2 linked regions of the Oryctolagus cuniculus genome follow. The protein of the gene in region 1 interacts with the protein of each later gene in a pairwise test. Links are inferred from orthologs where the notes say so. Each region holds a gene or a part of one and is shown on either strand. Other genes may lie near its edges.

Region 1 (6,920 bases):
ATGCTGTGTGAGAGTGTCCCAGACAATTAGGACTTTTCAGGAAGATTTTTAAAATAAAGATGGGGATACCAGCTCAGTCAGAACTATTCTGTGCATACACACATTAATACTTCGGCTATCAGAATCCGTGTCATTTAAGCACAATATCCTGCAATGCTCACAACAGCAAATGATGTGGAGGTCACACAGAATGCTGCGCACTGAAATTCTTCAGCAGATGTAAGGAACCACCTAACCCAGGGAGGACACTGAAATATCAGTTATGTTGTACTAATTTTTTTTTACTAAAATGTCTTTAGACAGATGGAAGCATAAAAATAAGTAGAACAGTCAGAGTTATACAGAGAAAGAAGAAGAGGCAGAGAGAGAGAGGTTTTCTATCTGCTGGGTCACTCCCCAATTGGTTGCAACAGCCACAGCTGTGCTGACCCGAAGCCAGGAGCCAGGAGCTTCTTCCCGGTCTCCCACACGGGTGCAGGGGACAAGGACTTGGGCCATCCTCGCTGCTTTCCCAGGTGCATGAGCAGAGAGCTGGATCAGAAGTGGAGCAGCTGGGACTTGAACCAGCACCCACATGTGATACTGGCACCACAGGCAGCGGCTTTACCTGCTCAGCCACAGCGTCAGCCCCTGCTCTGCTTTTCAAATAAATAAATAAATAAACCTTTAAAAAAATGAGTCCTAAAATATTACCATATTTTTTTCTTTTTTTTTTATTTTTTATTTTTTGACAGGCAGAGTGGACAGTGAGAGAGAGAGACAGAGAGAAAGGTCTTCCTTTGCCGTTGGTTCACCCTCCAATGGCCGCCGCGGCCGGCGCACCGCGCTGATCCTGGCAGGAGCCAGGAGCCAGGTGCTTTTCCTGGTCTCCCATGGGGTGCAGGGCCCAAGCACCTGGGCCATCCTCCACTGCACTCCCTGGCCACAGCAGAGAGCTGGCCTGGAAGAGGGGCAACCGGGACAGAATCCGGCGCCCCGACCGGGACTAGAACCCGGTGTGCCGGCGCCGCTAGGCGGAAGATTAGCCTAGTGAGCCGCGGCGCCGGCCAAAATATTACCATATTTTAATATAGGAAGGGTAAACTGCTACCTGTTTTTGGCCAGCCTACAAGCTAACAAATGTTTTTACTTTTTTAAATGTAAGTTTACAACACCTCCCTAAAATCAAATAATAATATTTCATGCTATGTGAAAATTACATGAAATTCAGATGTCACTGTTATCTGTAAACCTGACTGGACACAGCCAGTTCATCAGGTACTATCTGTGGCCGTTGCCTGCTACGGTGGCACACTGGAGGAACTGCAACAGTTTGCCCACAGAGCCTGAAATATTACATTCAATCACTGACATAAAAGTCTATTCATCACAAAACAATGGAAAGATAAATCTTGCTCATGGATCAGAAGAATCAATATCATTAAAATGTCTATACTGGCTGGATGACAGTGGGTAAAGCCACCACCTGCAGTGCCAGTATCCCACATGAGCACTAGTTCAAGACCCGGCTGCTCCATTTCTGGTCCAGCTCTCTGCTATGGCCTGGGAAAGCAGCAGAGGATGGCCCAAGTCCTTGGGCCCTGCACCCATGTGGGAGACCTGGAAGAAGCTCCTGGCTTCAGCCTGGCCCAGCTCCAGCCTTCTGGACATTTGGGGAGTGAACCAGCATACGGAAGTTCTCTGTCTCTGCCTTTCAAAAAAGTTTTTACAGATCATCTATCTTGTATGGGTTTACTAGTATCCAGAATATATAAAGAACTTTTGTAATTCAGCAATAAAAATATGTAAATACTAAAAAATGGCGACAAGAGTTAAGAAAAAGCCTAGCTCCCCAACCTCCCCACTGACCTCCTCAGAGAAAGAGACAGAGCCTCTCATCCACTGGTTACCCCCAAGTGCATAAGGGCCGAAGGCAGGCAGGAGGAACTCAAAAGGAGTGAAGCTGCAGTCTCCTGCCCAGAACCCGGGCCCTTGGGCGATCGCACGGCTTCCCGGGACCTCGCCTAGCAGGAAGTGCACTCTGACACAGGAGGCAGAGCCTCCACCCAACTCATTTTTTCTTACAATAAACGTATTAACTTAGGCCACTGCAGCGGGATACAACCCTAAGTGGTAACACCAACCAGAGCTAAACTCATTACGGCAAGCAGAGATCAACAATGCTGCTGGGTCTCGCCCAGGCGCACTGCCAGCCAGAACCACGCGGGCCCAGCTGGCGTGCAGACTTCCAGCCAGGTCCTTTTCCCGCCCGTGTGCCCCTTCACGTGCATGTCAACAAAGTTCATTTCCCAGCGGGGCTTGGTCGCGCCAGGCCTCGGCTCTAACACCCCAGCGGCTTCCCTGCGAGAAGGCGGATCCCCCGATGGCCCTCCCTCGCCCTCTGACCTTCCCTCCCGCCCGGAACGCCCCGCTCCGCGGCCTCGCGCCGGGCCCTGCTCGCTCTGCAGGCCTCACCTCAGAGGCCAGCGCGGCCCCCGGCCACCCCAGGCAAACGTCAACGCCTTCCAGCCCGACAGTCGCCGTCCCTCCCTGCACTTCCGGCTGCCAGAGCGCACACCGACCTCGGCGTCCGGCTTCCCTACGTCGGCCCCACGCGAGAGCCCGGGGGAGCGGAGCTCCGTCCCGGCTGGGCCCGCGCCTGCACGGTGCCGGCCAAGCACACAGGAAAGACTTCCTGACGGCGAATAAGCCGGAGAGGAGCAGGGCAGAGCCGCGGAGCGAGTGCCGGGGAGTACCTGTTTTTACCTTTACAACGAACGGGATTCCCGAGCTTGATTCTCAAACGAGCCCGCACTGCTCCCCGGAGCCCGCTTCCCGTACTGAACGCTCAGGACAAGGCCAGCGCAGCAGACACGGAGACCGGGAGAGGGGCTGCAGGGCGGCCCGCCCGACACACGGGCGCCCCGGGGCGCGCCTGCCGTCCACACCGCCCGTCGGGAAAGCCCGCACTCCCCAGCCTGCTCGGGGACTTGCTTTCCTGTTTCTGCCTCAGAACCCCCTCCCCAGGCCCAGCAGGGTAAGGGGCTGGCAGCAGCGAAGCCCCCGGGCGCCCCTGCGGCGGGCACCCCGCGCCCCGGCCGGCGCCGCGGGAGCGCGCGTCTCGCGCATCGCACCGCGCCGTGTCCAGCACCGCGCTGGCCGCGGGGTCCCGCGCGCGGGCCAACGCGGGGTCGCAGACAGGCCTGTCGCTCAGGCCGCGCTCGGAACGCGGCGCCCACGCGAGCCCGCGGGGCCGCGGCCGCAGTCGCCGAGGCTCCCCCGCCCGCGCGGCCCCGCCGGCCCAGCAGCATGACGTCACCCGCGCCCGCACGGCCTCCCGCGCCGGGCCCGGCACCTCCCCTCCCGCCGGCCCGTGGCCGCACCGTGCTCCCGACCCTCCGCCCCGAGCGGCCGGCGCCCCCGCCGCTGCCCCCGGACTCACGGTCGGTGCGGCGGCTCCTCGGCCATCGCCGGGCCGGGAGGCGGCGGCGGGGACGGCAGCGGGGGCGGCTGCTGCGCGGGCGGCGGCGGCGGCGGCGGCTGCGCGGGCGGCGGCGGCGGCGGCTGAGACGGCTGAGGCGCCGGCGGCGCTGGCGGCGGCTGCTGCTGCTGCTGCTGGAAAGACTTGAGGGACTCGAAGGCCTTCATCAGCTTTTCCAGGGTCGCCATGGCGGCCTCTCACCCCGCAGGGCAGCCCCCAGCGGCCTCGGGCCGGCTCGCGGCGACGCGGCGCCCCTCAGCAGCGAGGCAATGAATGAGGTTCGCGGCCGGGGGCAGAAGCGGAACCAGCGCGCCCGGCCATCTTGGGCCCGTCCCGGCAGCCCCCGCGGCGCCCCGCGTCCAGCGACGCTGCGTCGGCGGAGGCAGGACCACGCCGAAGCGGCGGGATTGACAGCCCGAGGCGGCCGTCTCTGCCTATGGCCGGCCGAGGCGCCGGCCCGTACCTCCCCCACTCCGCCCTCGGCAGCTTCGCTCCTCAGAGCCTGCGCTGCAGTTAGAACCCAGCGCTACCTCAGGGCGAAGACGGCGAGGGGGCGGGGCGAGGGCGGGACGAGGGCGGGACGAGGAGCGGCTGCGGGGCGGGCCCAGAGGGGCGGGGAGAGGGCGGGGCGAAGAGTGACTGAGGGGCGGGCCCAGAGGGGCGGGGAGAGGGCGGGGCGAGGAGTGACTGCGGGGCGGGCCCAGAGGGGGCGGGGGAAAGGGCGGGGCGAGGAGTGACAGAGGGGCGGGGCAAGGGCGGGGCGAAAAGTGACTGAGGGGGCGGGGAGAGGGCGGGGCGAGGAGCGGCTCTAAGGGGCGGGGCGAAGGGTGGCTTAGGGAACGGGGAAGGGGCAGGCGAGGGGGCGGGGCGGAGAGCGGTGGGGCGGGTCCAGAGGGGGCGGGGCGAGGAGCGTCTCTAGGGGGCGGGCCGAAGGGTGGCTATAGGGGACCGGGAAGGGGCAGACGAGGGGGCGGGGCGGAGAGCGGTGGGGCGGGCCCAGAGGGGGCGGGGAAATGGGCGGGGCGAGGAGTGACTCTGAGGGGCGGGGAAATGGGCGGGGCGAAAGGTGGCTATGGGGAACGGGGAAGGAACAGGCAAGGGGGCGGGGCAAGGAGCGTCTAGGAGGGCGGAGAGCGGGCCCAGAGGGGACGAGGAGAGGAGCGGCTCTAGGGGGCGGGGCGAAGGGTGGCTTAGGGAACGGGAAGGGGCAGGCGAGAGGGCGGGGCGGAGAGCGGTGGGGCGGGTCCAGAGGGGGCGGGGCGAGGAGCGGCTCTAGGGGGCGGGGCGAAGGGTGGCTTAGGGAACGGGGAAGGGGCAGGCGAGGGGGCGGGGCGGAGAGCGGTGGGGCGGGTCCAGAGGGGGCGGGGCGAGGAACCAATCTGAGGGGCGGGCCCTGAAGGGGCGGGGAGTGGGCGGGGCGAAGGGTGGCTATAGAGGAGGGGAAGGGGCAGGCTTGGGGGCGGGGCTAGCGGGAACGAACCATGGGGGCTGGAACAGGTGCAGGGCTGGTGTCGGCGAACCGCGACCGGGAAGACCCCACGAGGGAAGAGCCCCTCCCCGACGTAGAGCTGCAGACGCCGGCAGGTCGGGGCTGAGCCTACTGGGGTCTCCCTGCGAAGGGGAGCGGCCCCAGGGGGCGCAGACGCTCAGCAAAGGCGTGGGGCGCCCCCTCATGCCCGGGGGCGTTCAGGCTGTCGCCGAGGGGTCCGGGGCACCCCGTGAGCGAGCAGAGGGAGGTGGGCGCGTACAGGGCCGCAGGTGCAGCCGGCCCAGCGCCGAGGGAGCCTGGCGGCCAGGAGGGGGCTCCTCCCCGCTCAGGCCGGTGAGCGCTGTCATCCACGCGTGTTGTGCCTTTGTGTTGTGCAGTGACGTGTGGTGCACACGTGTTGAGTTCGCTGGCCTGGGGGGGTGGGCCTTAAACCGCGGCCATGGATCCTCACTGCCCAGGCCCGGGGCCGCCCTCTGGTCTGTGTGCCCACTGCTTCCTGTGCAGACGCTAGTCACAGGGGATCGGGACCCCCTGGGGACCTCCCACCCCCCGAGGCTGCGTGCGAACAGCCGCCCAGCTCTGTTGGGCAGCTTGCCCAGTATGAGCGCCCCTCCTGGAAGTCCCCTGAAAGGGGAGGGGTTCGCCCGCCCGCTGCCTGGGACGGCGCAGCCGGTAGGACCGGGAGCCCAGGTGCCCCGGCTGCCTGCCTCTGCCCGGAACGCACTGTGGGGTCCTGCCAGGAAGCCTCGGGAAACGCACTAGCGCGTGGGCCCTGCCGGGAAGCCCCGAGCTCCCGTCAGGCGCCTGGCCTGGAAACCCAGCTCCACTCCTGGCATATTCCAAACAGAGTAATTAAAGATTAATACCGCGGGGCCGGCGCCGCGGCTCACTAGGCTAATCCTCCGCCTGCGGCCCCGAAACACCGGGTTCTAGTCCCGGTCGGGGCACCGGATTCTGTCCCAGTTGCCCCTCTTCCAGGCCAGCTCTCTGCTGTGGCCCGGGAGTGCAGTGGAGGATGGCCCAGGTGCTTGGGCCCTGCACCTCATGGGAGACCAGGAGAAGTACCTGGCTCCTGCCTTCGGATCAGCGCGGTTCGCCGGCTGGGGCGGCCATTGGAGGGCGAACCAACAGCAAAAGGAAGACCTTTCTCTCTCTCTCTCTCTCTCTCTGTCCACTCTGCCTGTCCAAAAAAAAAAAAAAAAAAAGATTAATTCCGCGGGCATCGTGTCTCCAACGCCTCGCCGCTGGGCGCAGTCCCTGGGCAGCAGGGACGCTGCCAGGGAAACGGGCGAGGGCGGCCACGTTTTACAGCAGCACAGGGACCAATATAGATGCTGGGTGGACGTGAATCCCGATATAGCAGTTCCTAGAGTCCCGTTCCCCAAGTGCATCTGTGAGTCAGCACATTACACTGTATGACATTGAACTGGGGCCAGCATCGCGGCATAATGGTAAAGTCACCACCGGCATCACTGCCATCCCATACGGGCACTCACTGGCTGTTCCGGCCATCTGGGGAGTGAGCCATTAAATGAAAGATCAATATCTATCTCTGTTTCTAACTCTCAAATAAACAAATCGTTAAAAAAAGAAATTAACTGGGGCCGGTGCTGAGGCGCCTCCGGCTAAAGCCCTGGCCTGAAGCGATGGCATCCCGTATGGGCGCCAGTTCTATTCCCGGCTGCTGCACTTCCTATCCAGCTCTCTGCTGTGGCCTGGGAAAGCAGCAGAAGACAGCCCAAGTCCTTGGGCCCCTGCACCCACGTGGGAGACCCTGGCTTCTGGCTTCGGGTCGGCGCAGCTCTGGCAGTTGCGGCCATCTGGGGAGTGAACCAGCGGATGGAAGACCTCTCTCTCTCTCTGTCTCTCTCTGGCTCTACCTCTTTCTGTAACTCTGTCTTTCAAATAAATAAATCTTTAAAAAAAAAAAAAAAGAACCCCAAAGCACACGTATTGTTTATTTTCATTTTT
Region 2 (7,083 bases), about 1.9 Mb from region 1:
TGGTTCACTCCCCAGTGCCTACAGCGGACAGGGCTGGGGCAGGTGGAAGCCAGGAGACAGGAAGTGAACTCAGGTCTCCCACGTGGGTGTCCAGGACCCAAGTCCTTGAGCCCTCAGCTGCTGCCTCCCAGGGTGCTTGTTAGCAGGGGCTGGAGTGGACAGGCGAGCTGGGACTGGAACCCAGGCGCTCTGATACAGGCCGGCAGCACCCCGAGCGGTCACTTCACCCGATGCCACCCCATCTGCGTTTCTCGTGTGCTTCCCCGGGGCCGGGATGGCACCGAGGTCTAGGAAGCGCTGGTCCAGTCACCTCCGCTGGAAACAGTCCAGTCTCCAGTCACCACGACAATGAGCAAAATCACAGGGAGAACACTGCCTCCTCCTGGACTTGGCAATGCTTGTGAGGTCTGTCAGCCCGAAGCATCGCAAATGCGCCCTGCATTGGTGATCGTACGTGTTCCCTCTTGCAGCAGATTTTGTATTCGCCATTTTTTATTCTGAAGGAGGTCCCTCCACTGTGGAAGCTTCAGGTCCTACGAGCCCTGGGCCATGGATCGCCGTCTGTCCCCGGTCCCCTCTTCCTCTTTTCTGCATGAATGGACCTCGTTTTATTTCAGGCACCAATGTGTACTCTCTGAGTGGCTTTTTTTTTTTTTTTCTTTTAAATTTGCTGCCTCCTCCTAAGCCAGGGCTGGCCTGTGACACTGTTCTGGCCAATGAGACAAAGGCAGCTGGAGACTTTCCAGGTAGCAGTCAGAGGACACTCACTCAGCCGGGGAGTGTCTTTTGCCCTTTCCTCTCCTTGACTGGAACAGTGATGGGATAGAGGGGCAGAGGCAGCTGTACTGTTACCATGAGGACAGCAGGAAGAAGTTAATCACAGGCTGAGGAGGATGGATAAAGTGAGGGGCGGCCTGCGAGTGGGCTTCTGGTTAGGTGAGAAAAAAAATTTAAAGCATTTAAGCTGCTGTATAGCGATCAGGATTACTGTAGTCAAACACAATCCTTCACCGATACACCTGTATGGAAACACACAGGCGGAGTGCTTTAAGCAACAGCCAGCCGCTGTTTCGGCTCTGTCAGCTAGAGGCCAGGGTCACCAGCAGGTGCTGGGATGGACGAGCCCCAGCGCTGGCTGCTGCTGGACATCCCAGGCCCCTCCCAGGTTAGCCGCCGCCCTCAGGGCTGCAGGTGTCTGTGTCCAGCTTCCCCCGGGGACAAGGACGCCCGTCAGAGACTGGCCTGGGGCCCGACCCACTGCACCAGGGCTCATCTGATGAATGACATCTGCGGGCACTGAGAACCCTTGGGGGGGGGGGGCTCTCACACACACCGGTGCTCGGGAGGTCGCAACTCAGCCCCTGCCACCTGGCTGCGTCCCCGATGCCGCCTTCTCGCCCAAGCCCGAGCCATGAGCAAGGCCCCCCAGCTGCACCCCCTGGGCCTCCCGGTCCCCCTCTTCCCCTCTCACCAGAGTGGGCCCTCCGCTCCCCCAGCTCCCTCAGCCCATCCCCCACGGCAGCCGGGGCATCCTTACCCAGCGTCTCGGTCAGCGCGCGCGCGCGCGCGCGGGGGGGGGGCTGCCTGTCCCCTCCCGTCTGACGAGCTGCAGCCGAGGACAGGGGCCGGGCTCTCAGGGTGGACGCTTTAGACGCCACGGGGGCAGGCGTTTGGTCTGGCAACGGGACCCCCACATCCCATCCCAGGGTGCCGATTCCAGCTTCCTGCTCATGCGCACCCTGGCGGGGGGGGGGCAGGTGACGTCCAAGTCCTTGGGTCCCTGCCACCCACACGGGAGACCTGGATGGGGTTCCTGGCAGTTGGGGGTATCTGGGGAGTGACCCAGTGAACAGGAGGTCTCTCTCTCTTTTAAATGGAATGAATGAATGGATGAATGGATACACGCACCCTCCACACTGCTGGCCGGACCGTGGGCGCTCAGCCCGCAGCCCCGGTTCCTGACGGACAGCTCTGCGCGTGCGGGGAGGCCCGGGTGTGACTGTCACCGCCCCCGCACACACCGCGAATCCCAGCTGGCACCCTGAGCCCGCGCCGGGCCCTGGACCACCGCCCAGGCCGTGCGTCCCCCGTGTCAACGCCAGCCTCGGGATTCCCACGGCCCAGGGGGCCTGCCCGCCCCCGCCCCGCTCTTTCTCAAGGTCTCAAACGCGCCCCCTCCCCGCATTCAAACTGCGTCCTGCACGCCGTTCCCTCCCGCTTCCTCGCCAGAGGGCAAGAGCCGCGCGGGCCGCGGCCGGGCCGGAGCCCTGGGGCGCTGCAGGTGCTCACGGGGACCTGCCGGCCGCCCCGGCCACACGCACGCGCGCCCGGCCAGGCCCACCTCCTCCCGCAGCCTCCGCGGTTCTCGGCCCGTGGCCAGCCCCGGGATGCAGACGCCCGGCGCAGGCGTGGACTCCGCCACCCGCCTCACCTCCGCCACCTTTAACCTCTGACCTTCAGACTGCTCCTCGGCACAGAGGGGGAACCGGCACCGCGGTCGCCGGCCTCCCCGCTCCCCCGGCACACGCGCGGGCGCCCTGCGGGCAGGGACAGCTCCCGACACGGCCAGCCCAGACCCCAGCCTGCAAGGCCCTCCCCTCCCCATCACCGGGGGCTGCTCGCCGGCGGACGCGGGCGGACTGGGGGCCGCGGGCGCAGTGCGCACGCTCGGGCCGCCCGCGCCCCCTTCTCGCAGGCAGAGCCGCTCCCGGCGCCGGCCTCGGGCGGGGCGGGGCGGCCCTCCCTGACTGGCGGGAGGCCGGGCCAATCGGAGGGGCGCCCCGGGGGTGGGGCGGGGCCTGCCTGGAGCCGGGCGCCGGGGCCGCGGGAGCTGCAGCCGCGAGCGTGCGGCACGCGCCGGGCGCCCGCGCCGAGCTCGGTCCCGGGGCCGCGGCGCTCGACCCCCGTCCCGCCGAGCCCGGCCCCCTCCGTTGCTTTCCCACGGTTTTCCGCATCCATTCATTCATTTCTGCTCCGTCTCGTCCCTCCTAAGGGGGCGGCGGCGTGAGCTCGGGGCGGGGAGGGGGCGGCCGGAGGATGCGGCGCGGGACTGCGCCCGCCACGCCCGCTGCTGCCGCCCGGCTCGGGCCCGAGCGCCGAGCAGGTGGGTACAGGTGCGCCGGGGGGCGGGGGGCGCGCCCGGGCCGGAGAGGACCGCAGAGCGGGGGTGGCGAGGGGGCCGCGGCGACCCCGGCCGCCCCCGCCCCCTTCGTGTCTGACAGCCGTCGCGTCCCCTCTGATCCACCCATCCCGGTGTCCGCCTCCCCTTCCCATCCCCCACCCCCGCGCGTCGTCGACGCCCCCTCCCTTCCCGCCCCCAGCCCCCTCCTCACCCCGCCCAGCCTCCACTCTGCTCCCCGTTGCCCCCCCCCCCCGGGCCCCGCGGCGGCAGGGGACCCCGCCCGTGGCTCCCGGGAGTGGCGCGGGGGTGTGGCCGGCCGGCCGGGCGCGCCGAGTCCCGGGACCCCGCCGCGGTGGCCCCCAGGGCGGAGGCCAGCGCTGCGCGGTGCCGGCGGGGGTCGGCAGGGCGAGGCTGCGGGCGGTCCCCCGCACCTCCCCGCGCTGCTCCGCCCACGTGCGCGCCGGGGCGGAGGCCGGCGCGGCGCGAAGAAAGGCGGGTGCCCACCTCCCTGCGGCGCCTTGCCGTGCGCCCCGCGTTCGGGCCCGCGGCCTCCCCGCCAGCCATCACCGCTTCCTCCCTGCTGTGTCACCCAGGTAGACGCCCCTCGCCAGGCTGGGGCCTTCCGCGCTGGGAGGACCCCCTTCCCGGTGCGCCGCGGAGCGCCGGGCCGGCCTCGGCCCTGGGCCAGCCTGCGCACTCTCGGCGCGCTGTCCTTGGCCTTTGGTTGCGCCGTTCCCTCTCAGGAACAACCTTTATCTGGGCAGCTCCTCTAGCCCAAGGTCAAGGGGAGCCCTGGCCCTGAGCTTCCCTGTCCGGCAGAGCTGGGTGCGCTGCGTGCTTACCTTGGCAAGGCCTTTGCCTCCGGACCAGAAGAGCAAGCGCGGGGGGTCCTAGCCCTGCATCAGAGGGACCCGCGGAGGTGGGGTGCGGCTGGCCCTGCTCCCTGGGCTGTGGGTTTGCTGAGATGGGCTGAAGGAGGGGTGGTCGGGAGCCCCCCCGTCCCGGCAGGGTCCTGGCCTGGCAGGGTGCAGGGCTCTGGGAAGCCCCATGGTGCACCTCGCACTCCCACTCCCATGCTTTGTCGCGCAGGCTCTTGCACCTGCTTGGCTCAGGGCTGCGGTGACAGTCACCGGGAGAGGGTGACACGGTCCTCCCTCTCACCCCACGGTGGCGCCTACTGCCCCCACACCTCGATGCTGGCTTCCTGCCCCTCCCCCGCCCGCCCCGGCCCGCACCTGTCTCAGCCACAGGTGGTGCCTGTGTCCCCTAGGCCGCATCTACACCCCCCCCCCCGTGTGAACTCCTGTTCTCCCGTGGGGCCCGTTCTCCATGTCTTCTCTGCTGGCCGGCTGTCTCTCTGCACCCTCAGAACCTTGCACATAAACACAGCACACTGCGCGCTGTTCCCTTAAGCAGGTCTTGCCCACCCAGACAGGGCCACCTTAAGCAGGTCTTGCCCACCCAGACAGGGCCACCGTGAGGTCTGAGAAACGGCCCCACGTGGCTGGGGCTCTGTCTTCCTGGGGAAGTGGTCACGCCGGCCCCACCACTGCCGGAGGCTCCCCTCGGCCTGCCCAGGGGAGGTGGCGGGCTCGAGCCCTGCTCTCTGGGTGTGCAGGGGCGTTGTGGCGCTGGGGGCGCGTGGTGGAGACACCATTTCCAAGGCTAACTGGCCAGCAGCCCCTGGCTGCTCTGCAGGCTCTGAGCCACCCTACCTGGGCTCCTGTGTGGACCCTGACCCTCCACCCTCACTGGGCAGGTGCCGCCACCTGGGCTTTCCCACTAATGTGGGCGCCCCGTGGGAGAGATTGGGGGTCACTGGGCACACCCCAGTTCTCCGGGGACCCAGCCCGCTGGGCTTCTGAAGCCGTACTCCCTGGGTCCTGTCCCTTCCGTCTGTGTTGTCGTGGTTAGGAGGGTTGGCCTCTCAGCCTCCACTTCCTGTGGGCGTGGGGGCCGTGGTGTCTCTGGCCGGGCCGCCTGCGTGGCGGTCACAGGTGAGGTCCCTGAGCTGTGAGAAGCTGAGCTTTAGCCTTGTCTAGATGGATGCCCGGGTCGGAGGCCTTTTTTGTCCTTTCTGGTTCACAGTGGGGCAGTCACCATCGTTGATGTCACAGGCAGGGTGACTGAGCAGTGTGGGGCCGGGTGGGCTGGAGGCGCTGGCTCTGTGACCCTGGGCGAGTCCCTTGGCCTCTCTGCTCAGCTCCTGCTGTCTGCACACTGGGGATGGGTCACAGGAGAGTGGCTGTTGTTGCTGGCCTCCCACGCCTGCTGTGGATGGCACCTGGCAAGGGGGGGTGCTGTCGGAGTGGGGGGTGGCACACCCTGCACGTGCTGCCCCTGAGGCTCGCCGACCCCTGCCGTGGAGCAGTGAGCTTCCTGCAGGACCCCTGTGAGGAAGTCCCCAGGGGCCCCCGGTGCTCTCCGCGGAAGCCCGGGACGGGCACAGCTGTCATAGAGGCTCAGAGCAGGGCCCCGGCGCTGGCCGGCGGTGGGGCCTTGGGGCCCGGGCTCTTACCCTGCGAGCCTTCAGAAAGTGTTTCTTTTGTTGTGCTTTTCCAAGGCCAAGTGCACAAGTGCAGGGATGGGGGATAGCAGGGTGGGGCTGCCGTGGGAGGAGATGCGAAGGGGCAGATTCCAGGGACCCAGTCAGTAGGAGAGGGCAGGTGGTAACCCGCTCCCCGCGGCTGGGAGGAGGAGCCGGGCAGGGTAGGGTGGGGGTCCGGCAAGGTGGGGTGGGGCCTCTGCTCTTGCCTCAGCCTTGGTGTTTGCTTCACTGTCTTATATGTCTGTAGAAGGAAAGCGACGTAAGTGCACTCTCTTGGTTGTAACGGTTGGCGTTTTGTGAAGCACTTACCAAGTGCCAGGGGCTTTTATAAATAAAGTTTTATTGGAACACAGCCGTGCCTGTTTGGGTGCTGTGGTCTGTGGCAGGATCAGGCGTTGTGGCAGACACCTGCCGAGCCAAACCCTCTGTCCCCTCTGTCCCCTCTGTCATGAGCTCATTGAGTCCCGGAGGAGGTGCACCTGCACTTCCTGTTTATGGGTGGGCACAGGGAGGCTGTGAAGCCTGCCTGGGGCCACACAGCCTGGAATTTCCAGAGCGGGAATCGAAGCCAAGAAGTTCACTTTTATTTCCCTGGGAGGTTTATATTTTTATTAGCATCTGATTGAATTTTACTGTGTTCGTAGGATGTGGTGTGTATATCTGTTGTCAAAAATTGTTGACAAGTCCTTCACCACCTAGCACTGGCAATGAGATGTTTTATTTAAGATGTATACAGTGGATTTTTAACGGTGGCTCAGATATCGACTCTAAGTGTCCCGTTCAAGGGCATTAGTATCTTCATATTGTCGGGCAAGCGGCCCCAGCCCTGCCTCTGGAACTTCTCCACCGTCCCAAACCAGAGGCCGTGTCCTCAGCTCAGCACCCCATGCCGTCTGGTGGGCGTTTCCTAGAGCAGACGCCAGCGACCGTGTGGTTTGGCGGGGCAGCTTGGACGTCAGCCTTGGCTCTGAATGTCGCCTCTGCTGATCGCCACCTGATCTCGTCCCAGAACCCTGCGTGCCTCAGTTTCCTTGTTTGGGGTGTGAGGTTGACCCCGAGCCCCGTCCCTGGAACTCACTTGGCTGTGAGGATGTGGGAGCACAGGGGGCAGCGGCTACTGTCGTGCAGTGGGCAGTCCCTCGGGCAGCCACACGCAGTCTGCTGCTGGGTTAGCTGGCTCCGCTCTGTGTGGCCCAAGGAAGCGTCCTTGGGACCCGTGGCGCCCTGCAGCTGCTGGCCTGGCTGTGGAGGCTCTGGACACTGTGCCGGTGTGGGCAGCCTGCTCTTCTCGCTCCTGGGGCCTGAGGTGGCTCGAGGGCCACTTCCGGGCATGAAAGGGTCCTGTGTGCCCCTCATGGGTACGGCCGGGGGAGCTCGTTGTGGCAGTAATGCTCAGGCCTGTGCCAGGCCGGGG

The links. The genes of interacting proteins can lie anywhere in the genome.
Region 2: the proteins of HTT (region 1) and JAKMIP1 interact in binary tests that used the Homo sapiens proteins (3 or more experiments, as listed by UniProt). The link is inferred for Oryctolagus cuniculus from reciprocal best matches to the Homo sapiens genes HTT and JAKMIP1.

The regions. Positions count from the first base shown.
Region 1 is NC_091433.1:1,726,468-1,733,387, reverse strand, and holds the start of HTT (huntingtin), read right to left. Parts: upstream 3,799-6,920; 5' UTR 3,649-3,798; coding exon 3,422-3,648; intron 2,859-3,421; exon of another isoform or gene 2,746-2,858; intron 1-2,745.
Region 2 is NC_091433.1:3,640,653-3,647,735, forward strand, and holds the start of JAKMIP1 (janus kinase and microtubule-interacting protein 1), read left to right. Parts: upstream 1-2,814; 5' UTR 2,815-3,103; intron 3,104-3,582; exon of another isoform or gene 3,583-3,714; intron 3,715-7,083. UniProt on the Homo sapiens protein: Associates with microtubules and may play a role in the microtubule-dependent transport of the GABA-B receptor. May play a role in JAK1 signaling and regulate microtubule cytoskeleton rearrangements.